Sus scrofa: one gene and its partners. The protein of the gene in region 1 interacts with the protein of each later gene in a pairwise test. Links are inferred from orthologs where the notes say so. Each region holds a gene or a part of one and is shown on either strand. Other genes may lie near its edges.

What was found.
Region 2: the proteins of UBASH3B (region 1) and DAZAP2 interact in binary tests that used the Homo sapiens proteins (3 or more experiments, as listed by UniProt). The two-hybrid records come from large-scale screens. The link is inferred for Sus scrofa from reciprocal best matches to the Homo sapiens genes UBASH3B and DAZAP2.
Region 3: the proteins of UBASH3B (region 1) and FAM168A interact in binary tests that used the Homo sapiens proteins (3 or more experiments, as listed by UniProt). The two-hybrid records come from large-scale screens. The link is inferred for Sus scrofa from reciprocal best matches to the Homo sapiens genes UBASH3B and FAM168A.
Region 4: the proteins of UBASH3B (region 1) and DOC2A interact in binary tests that used the Homo sapiens proteins (3 or more experiments, as listed by UniProt). The link is inferred for Sus scrofa from reciprocal best matches to the Homo sapiens genes UBASH3B and DOC2A.

What each region holds. Positions count from the first base shown.
Region 1 is NC_010451.4:49,766,220-49,770,862, reverse strand, and holds part of UBASH3B (ubiquitin-associated and SH3 domain-containing protein B), read right to left. Parts: intron 4,612-4,643; coding exon 4,502-4,611; intron 3,256-4,501; coding exon 3,118-3,255; 3' UTR 1-3,117. UniProt on the Homo sapiens protein: Interferes with CBL-mediated down-regulation and degradation of receptor-type tyrosine kinases. Promotes accumulation of activated target receptors, such as T-cell receptors and EGFR, on the cell surface.
Region 2 is NW_018085018.1:159,716-165,349, reverse strand, and holds DAZAP2 (DAZ-associated protein 2), read left to right. Parts: upstream 1-1,787; 5' UTR 1,788-1,852; coding exon 1,853-1,865; intron 1,866-2,863; coding exon 2,864-2,982; intron 2,983-3,391; coding exon 3,392-3,637; intron 3,638-4,537; coding exon 4,538-4,666; coding exon of another isoform or gene 4,667-4,860; 3' UTR 4,861-5,008; downstream 5,009-5,634. UniProt on the Homo sapiens protein: In unstressed cells, promotes SIAH1-mediated polyubiquitination and degradation of the serine/threonine-protein kinase HIPK2, probably by acting as a loading factor that potentiates complex formation between HIPK2 and ubiquitin ligase SIAH1.
Region 3 is NC_010451.4:8,068,116-8,073,920, forward strand, and holds the start of FAM168A (protein FAM168A), read right to left. Parts: upstream 3,870-5,805; 5' UTR 3,417-3,869; intron 1-3,416.
Region 4 is NC_010445.4:18,212,323-18,218,192, reverse strand, and holds the start of DOC2A (double C2-like domain-containing protein alpha), read left to right. Parts: upstream 1-2,195; 5' UTR 2,196-2,717; coding exon 2,718-3,240; intron 3,241-3,603; coding exon 3,604-3,683; intron 3,684-3,872; coding exon 3,873-3,947; intron 3,948-4,071; coding exon 4,072-4,181; intron 4,182-5,326; coding exon 5,327-5,597; intron 5,598-5,665; coding exon 5,666-5,829; intron 5,830-5,870. UniProt on the Homo sapiens protein: Calcium sensor which most probably regulates fusion of vesicles with membranes. Binds calcium and phospholipids. May be involved in calcium dependent neurotransmitter release through the interaction with UNC13A.

The DNA of each region.
Region 1 (4,643 bases):
AATTCTTTGGTTAAAGTATAATTAAAATAAAAACTAGAAACTCCTCTAAGCCTTTCAATACAGGGTGAAAAATACCCCCTCCCCTCTTTCAGGCCATCAGATGGCCATTTAATCAGCCATTCAGATTCTATGAATCTAAATGTAATGGAAAACACTGTATTCTGAACTCCTTGCTGGGGTGAAGCAATAAGCTCCTAGCTACCAAGGCAGTGATGGAGAAGAGAGCCTGGGAAAATGAATCCCCCAGCCTGTGCATTAAGATGGGCCAATTATTCTAGTCTGGAGAGGAATAGATGCGGCATTTTGAAATCACTGAAACCAAAGTCTATCTGTGAATAATGCTGGGCCATTAGTGGGTTGATGTGGTGCACTTGTATAAGCAGCAGACGGTTTCAGATTTTTAATCCCAGATTAAATCCTTTAGTTAATTTCATCTCCGTTTATTTCAGATAACTGTCTACACTTAAAAAAAAAAAATCCTCTCTACCAGAAACCATTTGGTTCTTCCTTGACATTTTCTTCCTTGCTTCCTCCTCCTCTCCCACCTTCCTTCTAGCCCCTCAAAACACCTGTGAACACACATCAGCCTCAGATCAAAAAGAACCAGCCTAAACTTCACGAGTTGTAATAGCCACTTCGAATTTTTAGATGGATAGAAAATCATGTAATACAGCTGTCTGCTCCTTTTATTACACATAGATTCAACATGATTTCCAAAGAATTTCTCAGTTGGAGTCCACGTTTGGTTTGTCAAATAGGTAAATGTGAAAAGAGATTTAATGAGAATTCAAATCATTCAGGCTATTCTGATCAATCTGGATCATTAAAGCAGAGAAATAAACTGTCTTAGGGTTGTCCACCTAAATTACTTAGAAAATTACTTCTGATCTCTGCCTTCCTTTGCTCCTGTAAATGATAGCTTAAGGCTCTGTCTATATTGGACTTAGGACCATAGCCCAGCTAAACCAAGCGGCCAGGTCGTCAGACCTAAGACCAGTGAGAGGGAGGGAGAAGATGACCTATTCTGAAATGTGTTTTACACACATATAGACCCTGCCCAGCACACGCGGCTCCAGTTTTCAAGTGAATATGAGATGTTCAAGCATTATGCTGAGCACTGAAAGTCCAGGAAAATTTGTAGAGACTCTAATAAATATTATAGGTCTGATTACAGTGCATTCACCTCATTACAGATGACAGAATGCCTGGCAGCAACATTACATTGGCCGTGAGGTGACTTTCCTTTTAAAATCTTTAATGTGAGCATTCCCCGCCCCCCTCCCCCCCCTCTATTGTAAGATGAAAACTTTTACATTAATCAGTAATGTCAGCACAGAGTTATTTCTAGACCCAGAAGCTGGATCGGTGTTTGTGCAATGCTGGAAGAAATCAAGATTTCTTAAAATGCAGAATTCATGATATGCTTCTCTAAGTGACTTCGCAACAACAGCAGCAGCAGTAACCCTCTTGCTGATTAACATACAAAGCCAGCATCCTCTCACTTCCTCTTCTTTTCAAGGATCATCAAATTCTAGTTTCTAATAGCCTAGATCTATTTTTATATACCATGCGTTTTATGCACTTGGGTTTTAAAGTTATTTAATGCTACAATATATATTGACTTGTTTCATATGAATGTTCCCTTTAAATGCTGGGCCCTCATTTTGCACATACAGTCTACAGTGAACGCTATCATACCAGACCGTCGTCTGCTGCCCACAGCAGTCAGCTAGGCCCACATGAACTAGACATTGATAACTGATGTTTTGGCTTGATTGTCATGTATTTTTCTTTTAAATAAACTCCCTCTAAATTCAGGAAGCAAGTGTGATGAGATATCCCAGGATGTGGGTCTCTCCACTTTGCTTAAGCAGCCCTACCTGTGTATTTTAAATTATCATAGAAAAACAAATGAATAAAAACAACAGCACAAGGAGCAGTGCAGTTGTGACTGTCATCATTTAAGTTAGTTCCCTGACTCCGTTTTATATCCCTGGCCGTGACTGATGCATTTGTGGACGTTCTGTTATGATTGACGTATACTGTGAGCGTACAATGACCTGACCCTTGGTGTGGTTTGTAAAGATGTCCATATTGCACAAGAATGAGCTTCTTGCTGACTCAAATGATGTATGTAGCACACATCTTTTGAAAATGTCAACATCCTTGACCAGTTCACATGGTCTAGACGCGCGGGGCAAAGACAAGCAAGTCACGGAGATTTCGAAGTGCTGTGGCTCGTTAGGCTACAACACGGAGAACCCCAAGTCACTTGATAGTGTGCAAGTTCTTCGCTCCTATGATTGAACACGTCACACATTTATCTTCCTCCTGAGTATCCAAAAGTGCCTTGGAGAGCAAAAAAATGCTTTGCCTCCCCATTTCACAGATAGAAGCAAGGGGGTAGGACCATAGCAAAAAGCTGCAGTCAGCTGCTCTAGAGAAAATGTGATGTGGTGGGACCAGGGCGAAGGTTAGAGACCTTGAGCAGACGTCTTGGGCCAGCAGCACTGGTGTGTGGGTCATACTGAGGGTAGAAATTGATGGGAAACCTAAGGACAAACTCGCGTGGGGACATGTTTCCTAATAACCTTAAAAGAACTCCTCAGCTTGGCTTTAACTGGAGCTCGCAATTCGAAAGAAAATCCCATCACTGAACCCGCAGCTTGGTGTCCCTCCTGCTGGATTCTCTCACATCCTTCTTCTTGCATCCTTCTTCCCACATCCCTCCTCCTGCATCCTTCCTCGGAGTGGGCTGGCAGCCCCCTTGGGGAGGACTCAGGCTCTTTAGCCAGCATAGCTGGAAGGGGGAGAACATGCTTTGCTGTCGCAGGTGCCCGGATGTAGGATGATAATTCTAGAAAGCCTTGTTTGCTAGGCAAGAGTCCAGAGAGGATGAATTTTATCCCTGAATCAAGTCTTTCTTTCCTCGACACAGACTCATCCTAAGAACGGTAAAGCTTGAAAGGAAATATGCTAAATTATTCTGAGCTGTCCACTTAGGATGTGGTGCAGACTTTCCCACTGTTACTAAACACACAAAAAGACACTTCTCCCAAAGCCGACACTTCTCCCAAATCCTTTCTCAAGCCTTTTCTTTTTGTTCACTCTTGCGGTTTATTCTTGCAGCAAGGTCTCTCTCCAGTTGAAGCCCCCAGTTGGTCCATGGGTAAGAGGAAGAATAGGTGGGTCTGTCAGCTGCCAAATTCCAGTTTCTCCTAATTCTTCACAGGAACAAAACCCCAAGTATGGGATCTGAAGTAAGATAGGAAAGAAAGGGAAAATCGGAAACAGAGGGTTAATGCTTTAACTTTTATTTAGACAAAGGGATAATCAAAGGAATGTATAGGGGCTTTGTAGGCAAGCATCCCTTCCAAAAAAATCAGTAAAGAAAATGAAATGGATAAAACTGATAATTTATAAGGAAGAGTATTTGCAATCCAAGAGAATTCTTCAGAAGGATTCATTAAATGGTGAGCTCTCCTAGTGCAATTAAGTAATTGTTTATAGATTATTTCTTAATAGCATGGGAGGAAAAAAAAAGACATCATCTATAAAGCTAGGGTACTAGGAATTAATTCCGAATTGAAAGTCATGCTAAAAACCCAGCTCAAACATTTCAGAAATCATACTTGGACAATGGGAAAGATTATTCAATTTTAAAAAATTGTTTCCTCTTGCTTTATTTATTTATTTATTGGGGCACGTGTACCTAACATTCAAAGCTGAAGCTGTGCCCTTCCTAACTTCAGTAGGCATGGCATTTCAAAACACATTTGAGTGGGTGTCCGGAGCTGCCTTTATAAATAAGACCAAAAAAAAAAAAAAAAAATTTCTGCCCTCAAGCAGCTTACAGGCTAATGGGAAGGGCAGACACAGAAATTAGTTTTTCACAAATGAGAAAGGAATTGCAATTGAATCTGAACCAGGTTCTTTGGGGACAGATAAAGGAAGCATGGAATTCAGCCTGGAGGGAAGTGTGTGGGAGGATGGCTGACAGGAAAGCCTCTCCCACAGGCTGGAGCGGGGGCGATCCAGATGTGTCGGTCAGCGGCGGGCTTTCTGTCTCACTGCCTTGGGTTTGCCTTTCAGCCTGATCGTTTTGAATCACGGCTTCCTGTGGCCTACCAGCCAGGACCTCTCCTCCAGCTAAGCTCTCAGATGCTGCGTGCTGGCCCATGCACCCCTCTTTATCCAATCCATGGTCTCTCAGGGAAATCCAGACAGTCTGCTTATGACTCTCTTTCCTCCATTTGAGCTCCCAGAAGCTAAAACTAGCTCAAACACATCTTTTCTTTTCTTTTTTTCCCCATCTTACCCAAGGCCTGATGAAGTGCCTTAAAGAGAGTCCCACTCAATACATCTTGGTTAAGTGAACCAATAAATGTGTCTTCCCAGCTCAGAGTCAACACATGCTCCAAAGAACTTTGCTTCCAGCCAGCACGGAGCTGTTCTAAAACCGTAAGGCATTGCAGGCCCCTGAAGTGCAAGTAGGAATTACCTTTCGGACCATTTGTACAAAGTCCTTGGAGTTCTGAGGTGACAGGCCCTGAAGTTGGCAGGTACACGCCTCAAGGGAAGATGCATGGGCCACAATCAGGATATTATTTCCTGGAGGCAGAAAAGCAAGACTGGGGAGACTG
Region 2 (5,634 bases), on another chromosome or scaffold:
CTCGGATCCCGCGTTGCTGTGGCTCTGGTGTAGGCCGGTGGCCACAGCTCCGATTCGACCCCCAGCCTGGGAACCTCCATATGCCGCGGGAGTGGCCCAAGAAATAGCAAAAAGCCAAAAAAAAAAAAATAAATAAATAAATAAATAAATAAAATAAAAAAATAAAAACAGGAATGCAGAGTTCCCACCGTGGCGCAGTGGTTAACAAAACCGACTAGGAACCATGAGGTTGCGGGTTCGATCTCTGGCTTTGCTCAGTGGGTTAACGATCCCGCGTTGCCGTGAGCTGTGGTGTAGGTTGCAGACACAGCTCACATACTGTGTTGCTGTGGCTCTGGCGTAGGCTGGTGGCTACAGCTCCGATTGGACCCCTAGCCTGGGAACCTCCATATGCTGAGGGAGCGGCCCAAGAAATGGCAAAAAGACAAAAACAAAACAACAACAACAAAAAAGCCAGGAATGCTCAAACAAGTCCTGGCTATCACACAGGGCTGTTGTGAAGATTCATGAAGACCCCCCAGAGCATTGCAGGGGTGCTCTGCTCTGAAAACTCTGAGCATAATATGCTACTGGAAACAAAAGCAAGGGATTGCTGAGCTGAAATCAGTGGTTTAAATCATTCATCAGCAAATATTTATCAGGCTTCTACGGTTTACTGAGGGCTTTTCTTTCCAAAGTTTTCCCTTTTCAGATGCTTTTCTAATGTTCTTACTGAAGTATAGAATGTAAATTCCATAAGAAAACAATGTTTGCCTGTCTTGTCCAGCTCCATCTCTACTTGCACAGAGCAACACCAGCAGATATTTTAAAACGAAGAATGGAAGGAAAAACTTATTTGCTGCCTGAAAGGATGCCATCTTTGCCCTTAAGAACAAGGTTTTTGTTTTGTTTTGTTTTGTTTTGTTTTGCCTCAGCTAGGAATGCAGAAATTCCCACGCCAGGGGTCAAACCCTTGCCATAGCTATAACCAGAGCCACAGCAGCGACAACGCCAGGTCCTTAGACCACTGAGCCACAAGAGAACTCCAAGAACAATTAATTTAGGAGATACACAAAGGAAAATATACATGAGGTATCACACAGTTGCCTGTAACAGGTACCAAAGGAAGGGCAGGGCCACAGGCACTCCTTGGGGACCACAAGAATGCCAGTTTCAGTGTTAGCTGTAGTGTGTGTGGGGGGGGGGGGGGTTCACAGCACAGCATACCCTTCCTTTTAGTGAGAAAGCGACACTGAAATAAACACAGAAGCCTGTCGGTAGAATGGACAGGCTGAGAAAATTCGAGTGATGGTCTAAGTCAGAAAAGGACAGATGTGAATACGACCAGCAAAATAAACCTCTATGGAGTTGAGGCTTAAGTTGGGTTTAATGGGAGGGGAACACGGGATAAATCAAGGGTTTGAGGAGCGTATTTCAGGCAGTTAGAGAAATTCGTAGCACTGTGCCCCCTGTGGAAAGACTCTCAAAGTAAGGTGACCTTGAGTTGCAGTGCGTAGGTGGGAAGGGTTTCGGGGAGCAGTGTGAAGGTACTGCCTCAGAGCGACCAAGAGAGAAAAGATACTGTTTTGAGACAATACCTGTACTTTGTTTTCTTCCAATCAAGGGACAAGGGTGGGGGTTGGAGGGCTCGACCCAGTGGGCGGGGCCAAAGTGAGTGGGCGGATCACGCGGGTCCTTCCTCCAGCTACTGGAGACCTGGCGAAGGGGCGGGGTTTCCGGTGGCAGCGGCATTCGGGCGTCGGGTGACGCTAGGCGGACGAATCGTCACGTGACACGGAAGTGACTACGAACAGGAAGAGGACGAAAAAAATAACCGTCCGCGACGCCGAGCTGAACCGGACCCGCAGCCACCATGAACAGCAAAGGCAAGGACAGGGGGTAGCTGAGGCCATCGGGGAGAATAGTGCTGGCCCGGAGAGAGCGGGCCCGGGACCAAGGGTCATCAAAAGCCAGGCCTGGGGCTAGTTGCGCCGCGCTCCTGGGCCAGCTGTAGTGCCGGGGGTTGCGCCAGACGCCTTCGTCATCCCCGAACTACGGCTGCTCGCCCCCTCCTGGCCTTTTCCCCCTTAAACTCTGTGGCGCAGTTTGGAGCTCCGGGCTCGAGTGGGGGGCCGTTGGAGCGGGGGGGGGGGCGAGAAGGCTTGTCGTGATGGGCATCTGCAGGCGCAAATGGGGAGCTAGAGCTGATATTTGGGTAGGCCAATGGAGAGCCTGCGGAGGCGGGGCGCCGCGCTCCGGAACCACAGGCAGGCCCCAGGGCTTAACTAGTGAATTGCCGGCCCTGGTGGGCGGGCCGGGCAGGCCGAAGGGTCTCTTTCCCCTTAACCTCGCTGGCCGCCTGAACGTCTCCCAGTTCCTGTGTTAGGACATTCGCCTCCACCTCCTCTCCCATCCCAAGGCTCACTTTCACCACTCTTTTTATTTGGAAGTCGACCTTGAGTAGGAACCTGTGAGGTGGAGGACTACAAACACCGTTACTCACGAGCTCTAGGCCAGTTTCAGCCAGGCCCTGGGGGACCACCAGAGCAGAGAGGACGCACACACTTAAAACATCGACAGGAATGGGTGCGCAGACATGCCCATTCTGGAAGGATCTTGGGCCTAGATAGACTTTCCCCTTGTACCAGTGTGCTACTGTAAAGAGACCTTCCAGCCCAGTTAGAATCCAGCATCTCAGTTATAAGGGTACAAAGAGTGTTTATTTTCTTGGTTCCAGGAATCAGGCCCTCTAGGACAGTGTTTTTGCAAACCTCTTGCTGGCTCAGTGAGGTTAGCTACCCAGTATGCTCTGCCCCATTTTGGTTGCTCTGTGTGGTAGGCAACATTCTTTTTTTTGTTTTTTGTTTTTTTTCCTGTCTTCCAGGTCAATATCCAACGCAGCCAACCTACCCGGTGCAGCCTCCCGGGAATCCTGTGTACCCTCAGACCTTGCATCTTCCTCAGGCTCCACCCTATACTGATGCTCCACCTGCCTATTCAGAGGTGCTTCCAGTTTACTAGACTTGAACTGAGTACTCTTGGATCACATTTTCAGTCTTTAGCTAAGTCTGGCTCCACACATGTATTTACTCTCCACAAACAGGAGAGAGAGCTCACGTGGATAATCTAAAACCTCTTTATAGTTCAGCAATTTCAGTTGGGGTTGAGAAGGCATTATCTGATTATTTTGCTCTTTGGCACAGGCTGAAGTTGAGAAGATGAGTTAGCGTTCTTTGAGCCCAACATTATTTCTAGCAGGAAGTGATCCAGGAGGATATTGAGTGGCTGGTGGAAAGGCAACTTGTGTAACTCAGAGTGTAATCTGCACAATAATTAAGAATTGCCTCATGAAAGAGATCTGAAATAAGAATGTCATAAAGTAACGTGTTGCCCTCTCTTCTGCCTCTTCTAGCTCTATCGTCCGAGCTTTGTGCACCCAGGGGCTGCCACAGTCCCCACCATGTCAGCTGCATTTCCTGGCGCCTCACTGTACCTTCCCATGGCCCAGTCTGTGGCTGTTGGACCTTTAGGTTCCACAATCCCCATGGCTTATTATCCAGTTGGTCCCATCTATCCACCTGGTTCAACAGTGCTGGTGGAAGGAGGGTATGATACAGGTGCCAGATTTGGAGCTGGCGCTACTGCTGGCAACATTCCTGTGAGTATGCCTTTATCACAAAAACCTCAGCCCTTGTGTATATTAACTTTCTGAAATGACTACATAGTCATCCTTTCATCATCCCTGGGCAGTAGTTGCTGGTATTGGTGCAACCACTGACGTCCAGTAATCAGGCAGAATTCACTTGAGGGGGCAGGAGAACTGTGGGAAGTCAGTAGCCTCTGGCATATTCACTGAGGTCTGAGTTAACCAGATTCCTTTGTTTCTGTCTTAGGAGTCCTGCCTGCTGCTTTTCCAGTTCACTTTGGTACTGGTCTAGTAACACTCCTCATTCATTCCATAAGCATTTACTTAATATTTGCACAGCATTTTATCAGGAGCCATGATGATTAAAAAGTAGAATGCGTATCCCTGTTAAGTTCCCTTTAGGAAGACTTTACTAGGGCTTTTACTATGTCTCCCACTTAGTTTCCCTATGTATGGTAACTAGAGCCCAAATGGTCCTTGCTAGGGCCATTCACGCAGTAACCATATGCTAACAATGAGGTGAGAATGCTGTCATCAGGTAGAGCCTTCAGATTATCCATGTGAAAACTGTTGAGGAACTCTGTGGTGTAGGGCCATGGACCTGGTAACCCCTCCCCATTTTTTGGAATGGGAGTCAGAGGGATTTTCCACCCTGCAAATGCTTATGGGTCTGGACTGTGCATACCCAGGAGGGATCCCTAGGCTTTATCTTGGATCTGGGACCCTTTAAATGAGGGGTAGGATCTGTTTTCTGTTTATGTCTTGGGGCTCACAGAGAATATAGACCTGCTTCACCCACACTGCTGGCTCAAGTAGCACGTTGCCATCTTCCTGACCGGTCCTCTTTCATCTTTGTCCACTTCTCTCGTATCAGCTGCCCGGTGCCCAATCAACCTTGTCTTTTCCTTTCAGCCTCCTCCCCCTGGATGCCCTCCCAATGCTGCTCAGCTGGCAGTCATGCAGGGAGCGAATGTCCTCGTAACTCAGCGGAAGGGAAACTTCTTCATGGGTGGCTCAGATGGCGGCTACACCATCTGGTGAAGAACCAAGGCCACCTCTGTGCCGGGAAAGACGTCACATACCTTCAGCACTTCTCACAATGTAACTGCTTTAGTCATATTAACCTGAAGTTGCAGTTTAGACACATGTTGTTGGGGTGTCTTTCTGGTGCCCAAACTTTCAGGCACTTTTCAAACTTAATAAGGAACCATGTAATGGTAGCAGTACCTCCCTAAAGCATTTTGAGGTAGGGGAGGTATCCATTCATCAAATGAATGTGGGTGAAGCAGCCCTAAGGATCTTCCTGTAATTCCTCTGGAGTAATACTGTACCATACTGGTCTTTGCTTTTAGTAATAAAACATCAAATTAGGTTTGGAGGGAACTTTGATCTTCCTAAGAATTAAAGTTGCCAAATTATTCTGATTGGTCTTTAATCTCCTTTAAGTCTTTGATTTAGGTTACTTGTTACAAATGAACTGCATTAGCTGTCTGCCTTTTCCTTTTCGTCCTTTGCCCCATGTTCCACCCTCAGCCCCGGTCTTCGATACCTTCCCGCCAATCTCCATTGAATCAATGGTGCAGGACAGAAAGCCAGTCAGACTAATTTCCTTCTCTCCTTGCACTTGTCCTCACTCGTCATCTTTTAACCAGTCTTTCACAAGGATCCTCTGAAACCCCCTCTGTGCCCCAAGCACAGCCCCCATTACTTCTGCTTTTGCGTCTCTTCAGGCAGAAGTGGAGGGTGCCTTTTGGACCCTCCTTGTAGGCTGTCTCTTCATACACGAACCAAACCCAAATTTGCTTTGGTGCCAGAAAAACTGAGCTTTGTTCAACAAAGGATATCAACACAAACTATCATAAATAGCAGCTTGCTTATCATTTCAGGGGCAGGGAGGAGGGTGCATTTAAAAGCCTGATGACTCTAGAGCCAAATTAAGGGAAGTTTTCAGATCAAAAATTGGTTACCATTTGTCAGTGTCTGATGCAGCCACTCATGGCTCTAAGAAT
Region 3 (5,805 bases), about 42 Mb from region 1:
TTAATACTGGGTATTCTTAGGTCCTCAACTGTGAAATACAAGGAAAATGGTTTGAGACCCCACACTACTGATCACATTAGTTCTGCCTCACTTTACTCACTACATTTAAATCTCCTATCTGTCCCAGGACACCAAAAGCTCCTCGACAACTTTTTTTGCTCATTTTCATTTCCCCTGGCACTTAGCAGGCAATAAGTAAGTAAATAAATATTGAACAAACATTTCATATATATTCAGTGTTTTCAGGACATAAAGTTATTTCAGGACACAAACTCATTTGGTCCCCTTTTCAGCCTTGTGACTTGTGAAATTTTTTAACTTATCATTTTAACCATATTTAATTGTACAAATTAGTGGAAGCAAGTACATTCACAAAGTTGTGCAACCATTACCACTAAATATGAAGGCTTTTTAATGACTTTACTAAAATCACTTGCTATCAGTGGTGGGAAGGGGATCTGAACCCAGGACTCCTGACCCCTAAATTCATGAGCTATTATTCATTACACCAAGGTACCTGTCTGTGAATACCTCCACTGCCCTCCCCTTCTCAGCAGAACATGTGGAGAATCAAATGAGGTTAAGATACCAAAACACTCTACACACATTTCTACTACACGAATGAACACAATTGTGAGAAAAGAAAAAAAAAGTATAAAAACATTTCTCCCAGGTGATTCCTTTTCATTTTGAACTCCTAAAAGCTAGGGCTTTAATATAAATATCACACCTCTTGATCAAGCCTGCAGATCCACTAAAGCAATGCCGGGACCCCAGAGTCAAGTTATGAGGAGAAATGCCTGCATTAGTTAGATTACACTCTCATCAAATTTGGGTAACTGCTTAAACCTGATGTTTATTGTTAATACAGAAAGCTCCTCATAACAAAACACTTTCAATACCAAGGTTAAGTCCAACCTTCAATCATTCTGCCCATTTTGGAACCACCAAAAAAAAAATTCTTATTAGGTATTTTTATGTGCTGTGAAAGCCAAGGAAAATTGTTTATGAGCTAAACTCTGAAACTTAAAACACAAAAAGAATAATTTTGATCCTGTTGGTTATCCTCCCATTTTTTTTTTCCTCAGTCTGAGCTCTCATCAACAGCCACTTCATGTTTAACTCATCATAGTTAATGCAATTAAGTCCAGAAAACTGTTTCCCTAAAGATACTTCCTCCATTAACATCCTTCTCTACCTTCCAGCATCACAATTCTGCCCTGAGAATAAGCATATCATTAAGCTTTAAATAAAATTTCTGATGACTAGATGGAGATATCGTTTTTTGTAGTTATCCAACATGCTTACAGTGCCTTAAAAAATTAAATAAAAATGATTCTATAGGTTTTTATCCACATCTGACAGAATTCTAACCTCCTGAATTCCTGCAAAAAAAATTCAATCTATAGAAGTACTGTCCAATTATTTTAAATCGTATCAAGTAACGTCAAAAGAGACTCAAATGAAAAACTCCATCAATACCAAACCATCTCACCAATGAATATTTATGACATTTCCATATTTCCTGTCTTCTCTCTGTTTACATAAAGCGGTAGTGCCAAGATTCATCTCAGGATTATTAGCCTGCAATACAATGATGGGCCTAATTGCCTTGCAAACCAGGACACCAATAAATGGAGTCTTCAAGCAATCAATTTTAAGAGGAGAAGAAAAAAAAAGGCCTGAGCTCTTTCTGAATACATGCACGTTGCCTGACTAGGAAATAAATTCAGCCTCCTATTTTTCAGTCTCATTCATCAGTTCTCAAGCAGGGAATGCTCCCTTAACTACCTCAAGCTCATCAAATCTATTTAATGCCAAATTCCAGGACTGATTTTTAAATGCACCTGGGGGAAGGCAGAAAGGAGACAGCAGAGACATCAAATAGATAGCTATCACATTCCAGTTTCATCTTCTTCCCCTTTAGTGTGGAAGTGGGTTTTTTTCCCCTTAGCTTTTCATAATATATGAATAATAGAAGACACTTCCCTCTCCTCTATTCTACCTTAACTGAAACCCCTCTCAACTTTACCCTTTGTGTTACTTTTAAATATGATCCTAATACAAATGAAACAAAAACAGCTTAACAAGTCCTCTAGAAAACAGTCTTTAATGTCCCTTCTCTGTCCCCTGCAAGGTCCCCCAACCATGGCCTCCAAAGCTGTCCATTTAAGTCCAACCCCCAACCCTCCAGTGTCTCTTGGAAGCCATCCCAATCCTTCCTCTCCAGAATCATTCAATCCACCCCTTCCCAGCACTGCTCACTGCCCCTCTCCATCCTCCCTGCCCCATCCATACCAGCAACCCCAGGTTTTTCCACTCCTTAATTAGCCCCAACGGCTACCTCACTATCAGCAACTACCTCTTGAGTCCTATCAGTTCATATCAGACATTTTCTCCAAAACTCCCTCGCCACCTTGGCCAAGGGATATTTTCTTCAATATATCATCCCCAACCTTGCTCACCACCTGCCACTGTTCCTTCAGTGTGTCCAGCCCAGAAGCATCTTGTGCGCCCTCTGCCCTGACCCCGACCCAGGGGGCCACCATGCCCCTTCCAGCAATTCTAAAATCACTCTAAATCCCATCCCACTGTGCTCTCCCCACCAAATGGCAATGCTTCTCTGCCCATTTTTCGGCCTAACTTATTTCCCCCCTCCTGCCAGCTCACCTTCACACTCCCTCATTGAAAGTCCCGCCCCCACTATTTCCAACCTCCATAAGCACTTCCCAGGAAACCCCCCAATTCTACCTACCTCTGCTCTCCTAAGCCACGCTATTCCATAAGTCGCAACAAATTCCACCATCCCCAGATGGCAAGCGCCCACTTCAAGCTCAGGTCTCAACCCAGGCCAAGCCCCTCACCCCCAGCTCCTACCACCTTCATCAGCCAGCCCGAGGTCCACCTCAAATTCCGCCCTCCTTAATTAACATCCCCCGAGGGTCCTACTAACCCTGTAATCCAACTCTCTATTCAAATAAACCCCCGACCCCGCAACCCGGCCCGGATCCCAAGCTGTCAATTGCTCCAGGCCAACCCCAAATTCACCACCCTCACGCAGTCCCCTCCCCCATTAGAAGCCATCCCCCTCCAGTCTCATCATCCATTTCGCCCCAAACCACCCAAATTCCACCCCAATCCTACAACCCCACGCTCCTGTCCCAGGTCTGGTCACTCCCCATTAAAAGTCCCCTTCCCTAGCCGCTCCCCCCCAACCTGCTAGTGTCCCACCCTCACCCCACCCCCAGCCCGCGCCAGGACAAGTCTCCCCGGCCAGCCCGCCGTTCCATCGCAACCTCAGCCCCCTTCCCCCAGCCCGCGAGGGCACTCCGTGCCCCGACTCTCATTCTCCCCAGTACCACCGGCCCAGGCTCAGGGAGAGCGGACCGGCGTTGGGAGGGGGGGGATCGCCTCACCGGTGAGCCGCTGCAGGCGAAAACGGCGGCGGCGGCGGCTGAGACGACGATGCCCTTGTCTTCTCTGAAGGCTACGGAGGCGACGCTCTCGCTCCCTCGCCCGTGTCCAGTAAGGAGGCGGATGGCGCGCAGGGACCGGGAGCCTCCTCCTCCTCCTCAGCGACTCGGCTCTGAATCCTCTGCAGTAGCCGCCGAGGAGCCCGACGGGTGGGGGGAGGGGACGCTGGGCTGCGGGCGAGGGAGGAGGAGGCTGAGGGAAGGGGCGGGGGACCGCTGAGAAGGGCTGGGAAGGAGGAGCCGGCGCGGCGCCGCGACACATCCCACAGCCTCAGCGCGCCTGGACCACAACTCCCGGCATGCCCCGCTCCGACCCGCGCTCAGCCTGCGCCTCCCGCCCCCGCACTCGTTGCGGAGGGACCGCTCTCTTCCCGGTCACAGACAATGGAATAAAGCCAGCTCTCCGCGGGGGGCTTTTGTAGACTCAAAGACCACATACGAGGGAAAATTAGGTCGCCCCGCTGCCCCATCCCCCAAAGGACCATGTTTGTGGCGTCTCTTCGCGGGCACGCGCACACTCCCATATAGACCCCCCCACTACCACCACTTCCCGCCGAACTACATTTCCCAGCATGCCCTCACAGCCTCGCGCCCTGCTTCCGGGCCCTTCTCAGACTCTGTACTACAGTTCCCAGGGAGCGTGGTTCTTGTGAAACGCTGGGAGATGCAGTTCTCAGTTCTTCCTCCATGTTAAGCCTAAGAAGTGAAAGAGAGAAAAAAGGGAAGGAAATATGCCAACCCATCGAGAACAGGCCTAGATAGACTAGTTCACCTTGGAGTCTGTACTCTTTTCGCCATCTCCGTCGCCACTGTCTCTCACTAGACAAACGCAGCGGCTCCTCCTGGTCTCTCTGCAAATCCGGACGATTTGGCACCTTGAACCCAAAGGAAAAAAAAAAGCGTACCTCTTGACGCAGCCTCATTACTTTTAAGAATTTACCTTAAAAAGAAAATCAACAATTTGGAAAAGATGAATGCACAAGGTTGTTATATGAGGTTGTTGATTATAGAGTCCATCCATAGGAACTGGTTAAAGTAAATTGCATATACAAACAATATACTACTAAGCAGCCATTCAAAATACTGATATGAATCTGTTTCTTGACATCAAAATCTATTCTAGAGCGGGGGAAATGCTAAGAACAGTATGTTTAGAATGATCCAATTTATGTGAAGCTTGGGACAATATAAGATTTCAGGAAAGAGGTTTCCCAAAATAATCTGTCATTATCTTGGAGAAAAGTGTCAGATTTCAAATAACTTTTATTTTAATATTGCCTGCATTGTTTAAAAAGAGCACATAAGTTTTTAAGCTTTTAAGACTATTTTCCAAAATATAATTTCCAAATTCAACAACAATTTGTCTTTGCTACCTAAAAGCTTTCCATGGCTTTCTGTTGCCCTCTGTGGTGATCCAAGACTGCCTGGTTTTTCTGTGAGCTCAGCATTTCCACTATTAAAACAATGAATGGTGGTCATGTAGAATCATAAAAGAACATTAAGTTAGTAGGGAGGGCTTTCTCAATTTTTATTGTCTCTTCTCAAATTTTTCCTTCTGGTCTTTCCACACCTATTTCCTCCTTTTCTCCTACTCATTCTTGAAACTCAAGCCAAAGTCCTACCCTCCCCAGAACATTTTAGACACATTGATTTTCCTTATATCTGAGTTCTTATAGCAATTGTTTCTACTCTTTAGGGATCACTGTGGGGAGGAGGAATGAGGCGGGAGGAACGAAGTTATTGTTAAGAGTCTACAAAGCAATACTTAAAGCATTGTCTGTAGACTGAATAAATAATCTTACACTTAAATATTGTTTCCTTCTGTGTGCAGCTTTTCTAGAACATGGAATGTTGTATCAGATGATTTCTGATTTAACATAAATCCTGCATTCGACTACAATATTTTAGATTTTATGTAATTTTTCCTTGCTATTCTGCAAGAAACACCAGAACATTTGAGTTCCCATCCACAGGCCTACCAGAAAAGCCCAGGTTGCTTAAATCAAAGGTTAATTTAGTCCAAGGTCCTGCTGCGGCCAATCGCTTCAGCAGCTTCACCCCACCTAAATCTAATTACACCCTTATGTCTTATGACTCATTTTCCCCAAAACAGTCATCATCTTTTTCCAGCTACCTTATTTTCCATCCTATACTCCCAGGCTTAAAATTTCAGGTCCCAACCCCTCGGCCCTGCAAAAATCCTAGACCTCTGCTCCCTTTTCTGAGAATGGTCAGAAAAGTGCCTGTGGAATGTTGTAGCCGTCCCTTCCCCTCTCTGAGTGTTCCACTTTGTAAACCTTTTTCACTCCTTCTCTTCGCCGCTTCTCCAGCT
Region 4 (5,870 bases), on another chromosome or scaffold:
AGATGATTCTGTGCAAATACATAAACGGCTTCTTCCTTCATTGTGGCTGCATGCTATTTCATTGTGTGAAACTGTGGCATAACTTGATTGAACCAGTCACGTGGACCTTTATTCATTTATTTGGTCTTTTTTTTTTAGGGCCACACCTGCAGGATATGGAAGTTCCCAGGCTAGGGGTCAAATGGGAGCTGTAGCTGCTGGCCTATGCCACAGCTACAGCAACTCGGGATCCGAGCTGCCTCTGCAACCTACCCCACAGCTCACAGCAACGCCAGATCCTCAACCCACTGGGCGAGGCCAGGGATTGAACCTGGGTCCTGATGGACAGTAGGCAGATTCGTTTCTGCTGAGCCACGACAGGAACTTCCCCAGTCGTGGACCTTTAGGTTGTTTCTAGTCTGTTGCCATTGCAAACATGCTGTGGTTAATGCCCTTGAACTTCTGTCATTTTTGCTCATGGGCCAAATCCTAGAAGTAGAATTTCTGGGTCAAAGAGTCTGACAGTAGCCATTGTCAGACTGGCCTCCACAGAGGTGGTGCCCATTTCCCCGCAGCTTCGCTAACATTGTGTTTTCACTTTTGCTTTGAATTTTAGCATTTGATAGGCGACAAGTGGTATCTCAGTGTAGTTTGATTTCACATTTCTCTTAAAAAAAAAAAACTGGGGTAAAAATCCACATAGGAATATTTATATCTTAGCCATTTTCAAGCACACAGTTCAGCAATGTTAAGTATATTCACACGGCTATGCAACCTAAAGTCATACTACTTAGTGGTGCCAATCTAGTGCCAGGACTAGCTTGAGGCAGCCTCTGCTCCCTGGTAGTGGGGGAGAAATGTAAACAGGTATGACAAACCAGTGCTACCAGAGCTGAACCTGAGATAGCACTGAGAGCTGGGGCCTGGGCCAGGGGTGGAGGTGCGGATGGTCCAGTAAGTGTCTTAGGAAGAGGTGGTCCAGAATGACCCCTGAAGAAAGGAAAGATCTTCCCAGCTGGGGACCTTGGGTGAGCAAAGGTCTGGAGATCTGAGAGATCCAGGTGTATTCTAGAAACTGCAAGCAATGTTCTGAGAGCCAGCAAGGTGAATAAGGGGGAAGGGCCTTGAAGGGCTGGCAAGTCTGGGGCAAAGGAGAGCAAAGATCAAAGGCTGGGGTTAGACTGCAGGTGGCAGGGTTCAGGTGAGAGGAGGCAGACGGAGGAGGAAAGACTGCTGGGCTCCAGGGCATTTAAACTAAGCCCGACGCCCCGCCCCACCTGAGGGACAGACTGGAAATCGGAGGGCGAGGGAAGGTGGATTCCCGAAGGAGAAGCCATCCCTGGGAAGGGGACATGGGCCCTCGGGGGCTGGGTTGGGTCACAAGGAGAGAAGCCTGAACAGCCGAAGGAAGGAGGCGTGGGGGAAGCCACAGCCTCTGACCTCCGACTGCGACGTTTCCCTGACCGGGTCCGGGACCCCAAGATCCCAAACCAGGGACCGCGGGCCTACCAGACCCTCTTCTTCAGCCCGCCCCTGGGTCACTGCGGATCTCTAAGCCCCGCCCCTCAGGCCCCGCCCCTACGGATATTGGGAGGGGAGGGCCATATGCCCTCCCCCCCTTCTCCGAGGGCTGTCTGCGGGGGAGGGGCGTGAGAACGCGCGAGGGGGGAAGGGGGGAAAGGATGAACCGGCGTCGCCATGGCAACTAGGCCGGTGGTCCGCCCTGGAGACCCGGGAGGAAAGCAAGGAGAAGGCGCGGGAGGGAGGCTAAGGCGCTCGGCGCGGGGGCGGAACGGGGGCCCGGGTCTCCCGGGAGGAGTTGGGGAACACCGGGCAGTTCTCGCTGTGGGTTCCTGGTGGCGCAGGGAGCCCGTGTGTTTGCGAAGTTCTCCAGGGTGAGTGTGCCAGCGCGTGTCTGGGGTTGTGCACGAGTGTGAGCGTGCGCACGTGGGCACAGGCGTGCGCACAGGAGTGCCCGTGCAAGATGCGAGTGCCAGCCTGCCCGTGTGTGTGCACTCGTGCGCGCTCCTAAGTGTGCCCGGGCGGGCGCCGGCGGGAGAGTAGTCCCGCCCCCTCCCCAGCCTCCCGCCGCCCCTCCCCGCCCCGCGCCGCCTGCGCCGGCTGCATCCTCGCCTCCACCACGCTCCCCCCCTCCCCCCCGCACTTTCTCCAGCTCTCCCTCCCTCTCGGCTCAGACTGCCGGACTCGGCGCTCTTCTCGCCGGCCGCCCTGGGAATCGCCGGCCGCCGCCGCCCAGCCGGCACCCGCTGTCCCCCCAGTACTTGGGCACCTGTTGGAGGCGCAGAGACAGGTGCAGGGGCCTGGGCTGCCAGGGGCGAGGGTGAGGGTGAGTGTGTGTTAGCCTGTGTGTGCCTCCGGGGGTGTTTGGCTCTCGGGAGGCTGCAATTTCTGGCTCCTCTGGAGAGCCAGTCTCGGGAGGTGGCATCTGAGGCAGGGGTCCTCACCTTGAGCTGCGGGGGTAGGGGACCAGGGAGGCCAGCAGATCCTGGGGCTGAATGAAGGGACAGTGGGAAGTGAAAACCTAAGGGGTGGGTGATACCCAGACCTGACAAGCGCCTGGTGCTGAAGGATAGCCAGAGCCTCAGAGAGACAGAGGAGAGGACCAATGGGGCTGCTTTAGGGGTAGATAGGGCCCAGGGCAGCCAGAAGCCCAGAATGAGGGTAGGAGCTGGGAAGATGACAAAGGGACAATCCAGAGGTAAGTGGGCAAGGCTGAGATGGAGCCAGGACCTATCTGGGGGGGCTGGCAGCGCAGCCCCTGTGGAGGACAGCTTGGGGTCTGGAGGGCCCAGGCCTTCTGCCTGGCCGTCAGCTGGCACAGGCTGCAGTCTCCCTCAATACCTAGGAAGGGAGGCCACTGGGGACCCACAGATCCAGGAGGGTGTTGCCTGGCCCTCAGCCAGCAGATGGTAGGTTTGAAGTCAGCCCCGGGCTCACGCTCTCTGGAACCTCCCTCCCCCACCCAGGGGTGCTGCATGAGGGGCCGCAGGGGCGACCGCATGACCATCAACATCCAGGAGCACATGGCCATCAACGTGTGCCCCGGGCCCATCCGGCCCATCCGCCAGATCTCTGACTACTTCCCCCGCCGGGGACTGGGACCCGAAGGGGGCGGCAGGGGCTTCGGAGAGGCCCCGGCCCGACTGGCGCCCCTGGCCTTGGCGCCCCCCGCAGCCCTCCTTGGGGCCACCACGCCTGAGGATGGAGCTGAGGTGGACAGCTATGACTCGGACGATACCAGTGAGTCTGGGGACCTGAAAGGCTCAGGGTGCTAGTGGGGGCTCCAGGCTCACAGCAGGGGCACGGGGCCCCCGCTGGGCGTGGGGAGGCGGCGGGCACGGCCACCACAGCTGCAGTCAGAATGGTGATTACAGCTTCAGCCAGGCTCAATATTCAATATTTCTGCTGAGACACTCAACCACCCACACAGCCCCAGTTGCAGCCCAGCCAGGGACCCAGACGCGCGCACACACTCCGCAGGCTGATAGACGCAGACGGGCGCACACCTTCACAGCTGGCCCACGGAGCGGGCCTGCCCCCCGGCTCTCTGTCACACACCTGTCTTGACTCACTGACTCAGGCTACCTCTTCCCTCTCCTCCAGCCGCCCTGGGCATGCTGGAGTTTGACCTTCTCTATGACCAGGCTTCCTGCACGCTGCACTGTAGTATCCTCAGGGCCAAGGTGGGTGCTTCTTGCCTCCCAAGCCCTGGTCCTGTTTGCCTCCCCCCTTCCCTTCCCTAGGCCTGACTCCTGCTCCTTCCCCCATTTCCCCCCCCCCCCCCCCCCGGGGTCCACTCTGCAGAGACAGGGAGGGAGGGCAGGCTGATAAGACTGGGAGCTCACAGCCCTCTTTCCTCCACGCTATCCCAGGGCCTCAAGCCCATGGATTTCAACGGCCTGGCCGACCCCTACGTAAAGCTGCACCTGCTGCCTGGAGCCTGCAAGGTAATGGCCTCCCCCTCCCCTGTCCCCCGGACTCACTCAGCTTGCGGGTCTGTCCCCAATTTTCTCCTGCCTCCAGCCTCTGTGCATCACGACGTACTGAGAACCCTTCGTCCCCACACCTTAGGCCAATAAGTTAAAGACAAAGACTCAGAGGAACACGCTGAATCCTGTGTGGAACGAGGACCTGACATACAGCGGGATCACGGACGAGGACATCACCCACAAGGTGCTCAGGTGAGGGGTCCCTCCTCCCTGTTACCAGGGAGGACAGCGCCTCCTTGGGGACAGCTCTTTGGAACCTTCTTGGATTGGTTGATCCACCTTCCACTAAGCCCTCTCAGACGCTCAAGAACCATCAGTGGCTCCCTTCCCCTTTGGGAGCAGGCCACCCTGTGTCCCTGCCCCTCAGATATCCCCTACTGCTCCTCCAACAGAGGGCCGCCCTCTTCCCGCTGGTGGGGTTCATAACTCCTGAGCATTGCCTGCTGTGTCACTTCTGGCCTCCCCTCTCTGCGGGCCTAAATCCCTCTCATCCTTTGAGGCTCTGCCTCCTCCTGCAATCGTTTCCTGGTCTAGAGACCCTTTCTAGAGCCCCTGACTTAAGTCACACCTCTGCAGCGGAGGTCTGCCCATCCTGTTGCTTCTGTCCCCCTAACATGGCTAAGGAGTGACGTCTCAAGGGACAGGCGTGGCAATGAGGCCTTAGGGAGGTTAAGCGATTTGCTCCAGGTCACGGGGTTGCTATAAAAGTGGCGGAGCTGGAAACGGAACACTCCTACCTGACAGAGCTGCTGAGGGTGACCTCAGAAGGACGTGCAGGGGGCTGCACATGGAAACGGATGGAACTAAAAGCAATAATCCCTTCATGGCTGGGCTCCTGAGACTCTCCCAGGCTGGCTCCCTGCTCCACACAGAAAAGAAACGGGGGCTCTAGGGAAGGTGTGAGCTCCTGGTCTGACTCCTCAGAGCATCTCCAGGGCCTTCTAGCGCCTCCATGTCGGACCCGGGACCCACTCCACCAGTGCTATGCACATTCCGTGGCATCCTGTCGCCAGGCCCTGAGTGGAGGCAGTGTGTGTGTGTGTGTGGGGGGGGGGGGTCCTGAAGGAGCTAAAGCCGTCCTGAGGGCCCAGGGACAGGCAGGGCATCCGGAAAAGGGGGTGCAGAGGCACAGGGCGTATCAAAGCATCCTTCTCGAGGCCCAGGCCTGGCGCTAACCAGCCAGCCCCGAAACAGCCCATTTCACAAGCGAGGAACAGAGCATTCAGGGCAGAGCCGGGACCAGCCCGGGCGTTCGGAGTTCACGTGGAGGACCTTTCTCCCACACTGGAGTGGGGCTCAGGGACCCCAGGGGCCCTGACCCTGCAGCACCCCTCCAGGATCTCCGTCTGTGACGAGGACAAGCTGAGCCACAACGAGTTCATCGGGGAGATCCGCGTGCCCCTCCGCCGCCTCAAGCCTTCACAGAAGAAGCATTTTAACATCTGCCTGGAGCGCCAGGTCCCGGTCTGTGTGGGGCGGCGGGGTCCCATGGGAAGGGGGCCCTGGGGAGACCGGGTTTCCAGAACTTTCTCTTTGCCCCCCCCTCAGCTGGCTTCACCCTCTTCCATGTCTGCGGCGCTGAGGGGCATCTCCTGTTACCTGAAGGAGGTGAGCGACCCGCAGGGACTGCTGGGGGGGCGGTGGAGGGGACGCAGGCTGAACCCGTCTGCCCACAGCTGGAGCAGGTGGAGCAGGGGCCCGGGCTGCTGGAAGAGCGAGGACGCATCCTGCTGAGCCTCAGCTACAGCTCCCGGCGCCGGGGGCTGCTGGTGGGCATCATGCGCTGTGCCCACCTGGCCGCCATGGATGTCAACGGCTACTCCGACCCCTATGTCAAGACGTGAGCCCCCGCCCTGCCCTGGGACCCACCTGCCCCTCCCT